2 linked regions of the Cricetulus griseus genome follow. The protein of the gene in region 1 purifies or fractionates together with the protein of each later gene. This does not show direct contact. Links are inferred from orthologs where the notes say so. Each region holds a gene or a part of one and is shown on either strand. Other genes may lie near its edges.

What was found. The genes of interacting proteins can lie anywhere in the genome.
Region 2: the proteins of guanine nucleotide-binding protein G(I)/G(S)/G(O) subunit gamma-8 (region 1) and Gnb5 purify together in Homo sapiens (co-immunoprecipitation; 3 studies listed by BioGRID and IntAct, with this or other methods). This does not show direct contact. The link is inferred for Cricetulus griseus from reciprocal best matches to the Homo sapiens genes GNG8 and GNB5.

Annotation. Positions count from the first base shown.
Region 1 is NC_048602.1:11,528,007-11,532,231, forward strand, and holds the start of guanine nucleotide-binding protein G(I)/G(S)/G(O) subunit gamma-8, read left to right. Parts: upstream 1-1,425; 5' UTR 1,426-1,993; intron 1,994-2,123; exon of another isoform or gene 2,124-3,538; intron 3,539-4,186; exon of another isoform or gene 4,187-4,225. UniProt on the Homo sapiens protein: Guanine nucleotide-binding proteins (G proteins) are involved as a modulator or transducer in various transmembrane signaling systems.
Region 2 is NC_048597.1:186,572,061-186,576,006, forward strand, and holds the start of Gnb5 (guanine nucleotide-binding protein subunit beta-5), read left to right. Parts: upstream 1-1,146; 5' UTR 1,147-1,271; coding exon 1,272-1,383; intron 1,384-3,946. UniProt on the Homo sapiens protein: Enhances GTPase-activating protein (GAP) activity of regulator of G protein signaling (RGS) proteins, such as RGS7 and RGS9, hence involved in the termination of the signaling initiated by the G protein coupled receptors (GPCRs) by accelerating the GTP hydrolysis on the G-alpha subunits, thereby promoting their inactivation.

The DNA of each region.
Region 1 (4,225 bases):
AGTCTAACACCAGCTAGGATGGAACTCACTAAGTAGTCCAGGCTATCCTGGAATTTCCAGTCTTCCAGGCTCACCTTCCTAAGTGCTGGGATTACGGGTACTCTGAGACTTGTTTTAAGACAAAGGCCTTGTGACTTCTCTACAGGCTGACAGGGTCGGAGGCAAAAGGCCAGACGTGGAAGCCAAGAAGACAGTGGAGCTGGAGGGAGTTTGTGGGAAGGAACTGGATTCTGGACGAGTTTAAGATGCTTAATACTTAAGGACTTGGAGATGGCTCAGCCCGTTGAAGGCCTTTGCCATCAGCCTGAGGACCTGAGTTCCACCCTGGGACCCACACGATGAGGGGTTCACAAGGTGTCCTCTGACTTCCATAGCAAGGCGGGGGCACAGGCACACACAATGAATAAAATGCAAATATATATATTTACTTATTTAATGTAAGTATATATCATTTAAATATATTTAATAGAGAGGCTGCTGAGGTCTGTAGATTAGGAGGGGTCTGGAGGTTATCCATTTGTGTCCGTCTGTCCTCCCTGTTCCTCCCTCTAGCCTTTGGTCGGGAGACAGGGTCATCACCCTGTCTTTCCAGCATTAAGCAAGCTGAGTTTCCTCCTCAGGGGCACCCTAGGCCAGATCTGGGGATGAAAACCAGCTGCGGGAGGCGCCGGGCTCGGCGCAAGCCCAGGCCCCTCCTCGGCGCCGGCAGACACCGCTCGGCTGGTGGCGGGGGTGGGTGGGGGAAGGGGGTAGGGGGGGAAGCTCCTTGGCTCCCCTCCCCCTCCCGCAGCCCCGGCCCGGCGCCCTGGCACGTCCGGCGGCGCGCCTGATGCTTTCCAGATGTGGACCGCGTTCTCCTTCCAACCTGGCCCTACGAGCCCACGAGGGAGGGGGCAGGGAGCCAGGGTCCAAAAAAAAAAAAAAAAATATCTCAGTTCCAAAAAAGTTATCAGCATGGCTCAGGCCCCCTCCATCCCAGCTCCCTAGGGATGGCCGAGGCAGGAGGGTCGCCAAGTTGAAAGCCTGGGCCACAGAATGAGTTCAGGACCAGTCCAGGGCGAACTAAAGGAGACCGTCTCAGAACCACAAAGTCAAAAGAGGGGTCGTGGATGCAGAGCTCTGGGTCAGCACGTGCGAGACTTCAGATCCGTTCCCCGGTACTGCGGGGCGGAGCTGTCAGAAGCTTTCCCCGAGCAGGCGTCTGGCTTCCCGGTGCGGGCGGTGAGAACCGACCCGGGCTTGAGCTGTCAGCGTGCGACTGAGACGCCTCTCCGGACTCCACCTCCTTCCCAGGGATGCAGTAGCCATCGGTGCGAGCCAGGATGGGAAGGAGCGCCAAGCCCCGCCCTCTCTCCCTTACAGGCCCCGCCCCACACCCGCCCCGGCCACACCCACACCACGCCCCCTCCGCTGCCCCGCCCCCCGCGCCCCGCCGCGTGGTCGGGCGGGAAAGGCGCGCTCTGAATCTCACTTGGCAGAGACCCGGCTCTGTCTTCAAGTCTCAGTCCGTGTGTCTGTCTCCTGTGACCTCTCCCTGGACCTGCCGGCTTCTGTCCCGCTGTCCCGCTTGTCTCTCTCCGCCCCTCTCACCCCTCTCTCTCTGAAGTTCCCTGTCCTCTCCCTCTGATCCCTTCCTTTTTTTTTTTTTCACCTTCCTAGGAACCCCATTTCTCCTCTCATCCTTCTCGCCACCCCCCACACCCCCACACCCCCCGATCTCTGGTTTCTATCTTCTGCAAGGCTGGTGGCCGGCGATGCCTCGTCGTCTTGGCGGCTTCTGCGCTCGCTCCTCCAGTGACTTTGGCTCGAGCGCGCCCCCGTGTGGCCAGCAGTGGGGGGCCGCGAGGGCGAACGAGAGACCAAGAAAGTGATGCCGTGGTGCCTGCTGTGGTTGGCGTCTGTCCCACGCGGCATCCAGAGGTGGTGCGACCCACGCCAGCGTGAGGGCACGCCTCGGAGGCGGTGTGGGGCACCAGGGGGACGACGTGTGACGGTGTGACACAGTGGGATTGGGAACGACAAGGAGGGATTGAGCGGGACTGAGTGAGCGTGTGTGGCCTTGGGCCTGGGAGAGAAACTAACTGGAGGCTGCCCATGATGTATGTAAGCGGGGGCGGGGGGGGGTCGGGGGTCGGGGGAGAGCTCGTGTGTGTTACGAGAGCAGAGTGAGTCCACCCAAGTGATGGCATGAGCCAGCGATGCAAAAGGGAGGCACACAGGGGGATCCGGTGTGGACAACCGTGTGAGCATGTAACAGTGTGTCTGCCACAACACTGGTGGGTCACGCGTGAGGAGCTGGTTGGTCACATGTGGCACTGAGGCTGCCCTGCGTCTGTGGCTGCCTGTGCGAAAGCATGCAATTATTTGTTTGGGGACTCAACGGTAAGACTGGGAGAACGCTGAGCGAGGAAGAGACAGTGTGAGCATGGCAAGCATTTGAGGCCCAGCAAAGACTATGTCCAGGCCAGTGTGTGTGTGTGTGCGCGCGCGCGCGCGCAACACCACACCATTGTGTGTCAACAGTGTATGACACCAAAAGACAGTGTGTGGGTCTGACAGGGATTACATGTGACCCTGTGGCTGGGGGACACACGACCATGTGTGCCATGTGTGTCCGGAAACTCACCAGGAGTAAATGTGGCCACACACAGGCACCCCTGGAAAGGAAACCGTGTGGTCCCGCCTCACACTAAGCAATGGAGCGCTGGGCGGAGAGGCTGAACCGGTATTGTATGCCACCACGTGAGATTTGGAGAAAGGTGTGAATGAGAGCTTGAAGAGAAGCCGAAACTGCGCTTGTAAGGATGACAATACGCACATTTGACACCCTAAGAGAGGGCACCTGACTGCAGTGGTGCCAGCCAGTGCTGCTGGCCATGGCAGGCTGTGCTGTGAGACGCCACGAGCCACCGCGGTGGGCTGGGCGGTGTGTTGAGACCTTTGGCGCCGAGTATTATTGTGCTGAGCACTGTAGCCCAGCAAGGTCCTCTGCGGCCCAGCAAGGTACTCAGCACCCCTGTGTGAGTGACTTGAGTCTGTGTGCTGCTGAGAGCGTCTCTGCGATGGGGTGATGCTGAGGTGACTGTCGGTTTGCTTGTGCGAGCGGCGTGAGGGTGCATGGGACACACGGGAGAGGCCTGTGTGCATAAATATACTTACCTAGAGGGGCTATCCTTTCCTGCCAGTGTGAAAGAGGGACTCTAGAGAGAGAAAGACATGGATGAAACACACACACACACACACACACACACACACAGAGAGAGAGAGAGAGAGAGAGAGAGAGAGAGAGAGAGAGAGAAGAGAAGAAGAAGAAGAAGAAGAAGAAGAAGAAGAAGAAGAAGAAGAAGAAGAAGAAGAAGATACATAGGCAAGGAGAGGACCCACAGAGACAAACCTGGGCGTGGAGACAGGTGGTGCCTAGGAGGAGGCGGTCCTGAGGAGCTGCACCCCAGGGGAGGGGGTGGGGCTGGGAAGGGGACCAGACGCTGCCTCTCTCAGCCTGTCACCCGCCAGTCATCCCAGCCCTGAGCTGCAACAGGTAGGAGGCTCCTTTCCGGGGTCCCAGTGGCTGGTTGGTGGCCACCACCGTCGGTCTGTCCGGGGTTGAATGAGTGAATGGGTGAATGAAGGAATAAATGACTATAGTTCCATGGGTCCCCATCATTCCCTCTGTCCTTCTGTTCGTCTATTTATCCCTCACCCTCTCTCTCCTCTTCCCTTGCTCCGTTTCTTTTCTAACACTGCTTGTCTGGGTCCCCCCCCACCCCTCCTGTCTCCCTATCTCCTCCGCTCCCGTTCCCTCCGTGCCTCTTTCTTTCCCTATACCCCCCCTTTCCCTCCCTCTCCCTAGCGTCGTCTTCGTCCATCATCTCTCCCCCCAAATCTGTCTCCATCCTCAGTCTATTTTCCTTCTCCATGCCTGTCTCCCCTTCTGTCACATTGTTACCCCTCCCCATTGGTTTTTCCTCTTGTCCTCCCCCCCCCCCGCCTCTATCCTCCAAGCCCCTCTGCAGGGCTGGCTGGGTTGGCTTGCCCCAGCCCTCTCCCCTGCCTGCTAATGAGCAAGAGAGCCTTTGAGGTAGCCAAGGCTGGGGCGGGAGTGGGTCCCTGAGGGTGGCAGAGGGGGCAGCTGCTGCCGAGGCCCTAATGAGGCCCCCTCTGCGCCCCTCCCGCCGAGATCTTAATTCTCAGCTCTCCCTGGAGTCGCTGCTAATTGGCCTGGGGA
Region 2 (3,946 bases), on another chromosome or scaffold:
AGCCCAAGCCTGCTGGGCCTGGTAGGAACTGAACAGAAATCCTGACTTCTTTTTTTCAAAGTACATTGCATCTTATCCTTGCCAAAGGTGGCTATTATCAGGCTTCAGATCACCACCAAAAATGTCCTCAGCCCTGGAAATCAGTCCCTGCCTGTCTCAGAAGAGTCACCAGGCTGAGCTCAAAGCTGTGGCTCACAAGGGCCCCCATCTGGTAACAGGTGGTAATGCACCATCTCCTGATCCGACAGGAGTGCTGCGCCCTTGAGGTACACTGACGTACATGTAGACAAAACACTCATCTACATAAAATAAAATAAATCTTTAAATTTTTAATTTAAAAAGGTGTGTTTATTTTATGTATACTAGAGGTTTGCCTGCACGTATGTCTGTGCACCATGGGGCATGCCTGATGTCAGTAAAACCAGAATAGGGCATTGGCTTCCCGGAACTGGCATTACAGAGGGTTGTGAGCCACCATGTGGGTGTTGGGAATCGAACCTGGGTCCTTTGGAGGATCATCAAGTGTTCTTCACCAGTGAGCCCTTGCTCGCTATACATCTACACTTTATATGAATACACTTACACTTATGTAGCATGTTTTATACATCCATTTAATAAGCTAGCATTAACTGAACTATTTATTTTATTTACTTTGGTTTTTCGAGCAACTTCGGTGAGCATCAAAAGAGTCACCAGGGAACCTAAGCCCAGGGAAGTGTAGGTGGAGAGGAGCCACTGTAGTCTGTTACTCTGTCACCATAAGCAAGACTTCATTCCAGAGGAAAGGACGCCTCCGACTCCAGCAGGGTGTGCCACCGACCCCTACTTTTGCTGCCCCATCCCAGGACCCCGGCAGCCAGAACTCATTTTTAAAAGAATGTTTCTGGCTAGAGGGTTGTGGGACAGGTTTCTGACGCATCCTGCCTCAAGTCCCCAGGGATGCAGAGGGCTGGGTTGTGTCGACTTCTCTAGGCTCCCCTGGAGCGAAGAAAGAGGAGTTGGGACCACAGCTTGTTCTGTGAGCCTCAGTTCCCCCAAGCCTCCACCCCTTATCCCATCCAGGGCATAGCCCCGCCTGGTTCTCAGGGAGAGCGCGGAGGGCGGAGCCGGGGAAGTCTGCCACCGCCGCGGTCGCGTCACCGCCAAGGGGGCGGACCCGGGGAGGCGTCCGGGGTCACGGAGGCTGCTGCTGATCCCGCCCTCTCGGCCACCCCGGCGTCGGCTCTCAATCTCCCGCTTTGCGTTTGTCTCCCGGCTGCATCCCGACGAAGATGGCAACCGATGGGCTGCACGAGAACGAGACGCTGGCGTCGCTGAAGAGCGAGGCCGAGAGCCTCAAGGGCAAACTGGAGGAGGAGCGGGCAAAGCTGCATGACGTGGAGCGTGAGTGCGAGCCGGGGGTGGCGGGGAAGCTCTCGTGGGCCCGACCCTCCGAGGGGCTGGAGGACCCGCGTGGGACCGGTTCCACCGCCCGGGGTGGGAGGATGCTGAGCCCCTCCCAGGGGGCGGGTGGAGAGGCGCAGCCAGCAGGTGTGCCGGGGCGGGACCGCTTTACTGCTCCCCGTTGGGACTCTGCCCCCCGTTAGATCCTTTCTCCCCGCGGATATGAGGCTCCCTTTCCCGTGTCTCCACTGTCCGTGGGGGCAGGGAGCTTGATGGCGGAGGGAAGCGGAGACGCCTCCTGCATCCACGCGTTCAGCTTGCGGCAGGCCCTTTAGAAGCCTTTGATGGATGCCGCGGTTGACATAAAAGGGCCAGCGCGGTGTAAATAAACTTGCCGGCGTGCCCGCTTCCATCCCGGTTCAGAACAGGGGTGGTCAGAGAGGGGTGGTCCTCCGCAGAGCTCAGAGTGGAGACCCCGCTTGGGCAGTGGTCTTACCCGCTCACCCTCCCTTGCAGAGCAAGGCTTGTTAGCCAGCAACCCCCCACCCCGCAAACACACACACTTATGTGTGGTGTCCCCGCCTTCCTAATTGGTCACAGCCTTAATTTAAGTTCCATTTGGAGAAGGGAACTGGGGTTCAGTAAGGGGCCTTTAGCATTTATTTTCCCTGAAACTTGCTGGAAGTACAGAACCCCTGTTATGCCTTCCCAGGGACCTTCTCTTGTTAGAAGGGCAGCCCGCTTCTGTGAGATTTCGAAATGTGTCCAGATGTAATTAGTTAAATTGTGAGTTGTTTTTCTGGTAACAAGATCAGGTCTGGTGCAACTGCTTGGTGCTTTGAAGAGCCCAGGCCTTTCCACACCATCAGCCATTGGCATTTACCCAGTGACTCCAAGATGACTGCCATTGCTCCAAACTTTGCCTCTGTATCCAAAGCAGGAAGAAGGGAGAATGTGAACCCCGGGCTCTTTTCCTTCTTAGGGAGAAAGCAAAATTTTTCCCAGAATTCCTCTCTTCCTAAGATTTCTATTTGTACTTTATTAGCCAGAACTAGGCCATGTGGCCTCTGCCAGGGAGTCTGGATAAAGGGGGCCCATGCTAAGCACATTGCCACCCCAAAGTTGAGAAGTAGGGAGTGGAGACATGGGGTCAGTCTCTCCTTCCCCTTTTCAGAGCCTTGTAGGCTGAAGGTGGTGATGTTGTCTCAAGCTTGGTTTAGTGCCTCAGACTTCTCTGTTTGACAGCTGAGGAAATGGAGACGTTCCTTGGCCCTGTGGCTTGTGCATTCATTTTGAAGTGCTACACAGGTGGCCCTTGTGACATGAGCCCCTCACTCTAGAAACCCCACCCACCCACCCACGGGGGGGGGGTGATCTTGTCTTGCATCCTCTTACTTAGAGTCCTACTCTGACCATAGTCTCTCCCGGATCCTTGGGAACCCTGGCTTTCCCCTGGAGCCCTCAGCCCTGACCTGTCTTCTATCCCTTCCCTAGCATCAGCACAGATACTTTGATTAACTTCCAAAAGTCTTGCCAAGGGACCATGACTCTATCTGGTCCTCCTGCCTCCTCCTCAGCCCTGGATGGACCAACAGCCTTCCTTTCTCCTGCTGCTGGACTCATGAGGCTGCTGAAGAGGAGGCACCAGGAGGCCTCTGTGGCCAATGGCTAAGTCACCCTGTAGTATCTTCAGACAGCTCTCTGCCCTGGCAGTTGTCAGCCACTTAGCATTCTGTGATGGCCTCTGTCCTTTTACTTCCTCCCCCAGAGAAAATGGAAGGTAGAAAGCTGGGCCCTGAGTTTATAGATCCAACCCCCCTTGCACACCTGACTGACTCTTCCTGTCTAGGAGTTAACTTCTTCCCACCCCTAGTCTTTAGTTTTTCCTCTATCTCTGCCCCCTGCTTCTCTGTCAACAGTCTCTCTCTCTCTCTCTCTCTCTCTCTCTCTCTCTCTCTCTCTCTCTCTCTCACACACACACACACACACACACATACACACACACATACCTCTCTTTTTCTCACACAGTTTGCCAGCCCCTGGTGTGTCAGGCTCTGTGTGCAGCGAACAAATCAAGAATGTTCCCTCAGAAGGCTTTGGTCCAAAGCTGGGAGTCAGGCATTCAATAGGTAAAATAAGTTCTAGGCTATATATGTTCTCTAGATAGAAAGGAGGGGGTAAGGAAGAGAGAAATGAGCTATGGGGGAACTCAAAAAACTCGCAGAGACTGTGACCCAGGGTGGCTCCTGGGAAGGATGTTTGAATGCAGATTCCTTACTTGTATAAAAAAAGGATAGACTGCCACAGTGAAGAGAGTTTGAAACAAAAATCAATGCAAAGCTGTTAAGTGTGTGTGTGTGTTTGGGGGGGGGTTGGTATAGTGAGCCAAAGCTGAGGCAGGGGAGTATGCTCGCTGTACTGGGGGGAAGCTGAGGCCCTGTCTGGAGAGGCATACACAGTGGCGGGGTAGGAGGTGGAGTTACAGTGGGGGGCTGTTGAGGCCTGGTGGGACACAGTGAGGTCTTGGTTGCTCTTGCTCTCTCTGTCTCTCTGTCTTTCTGTC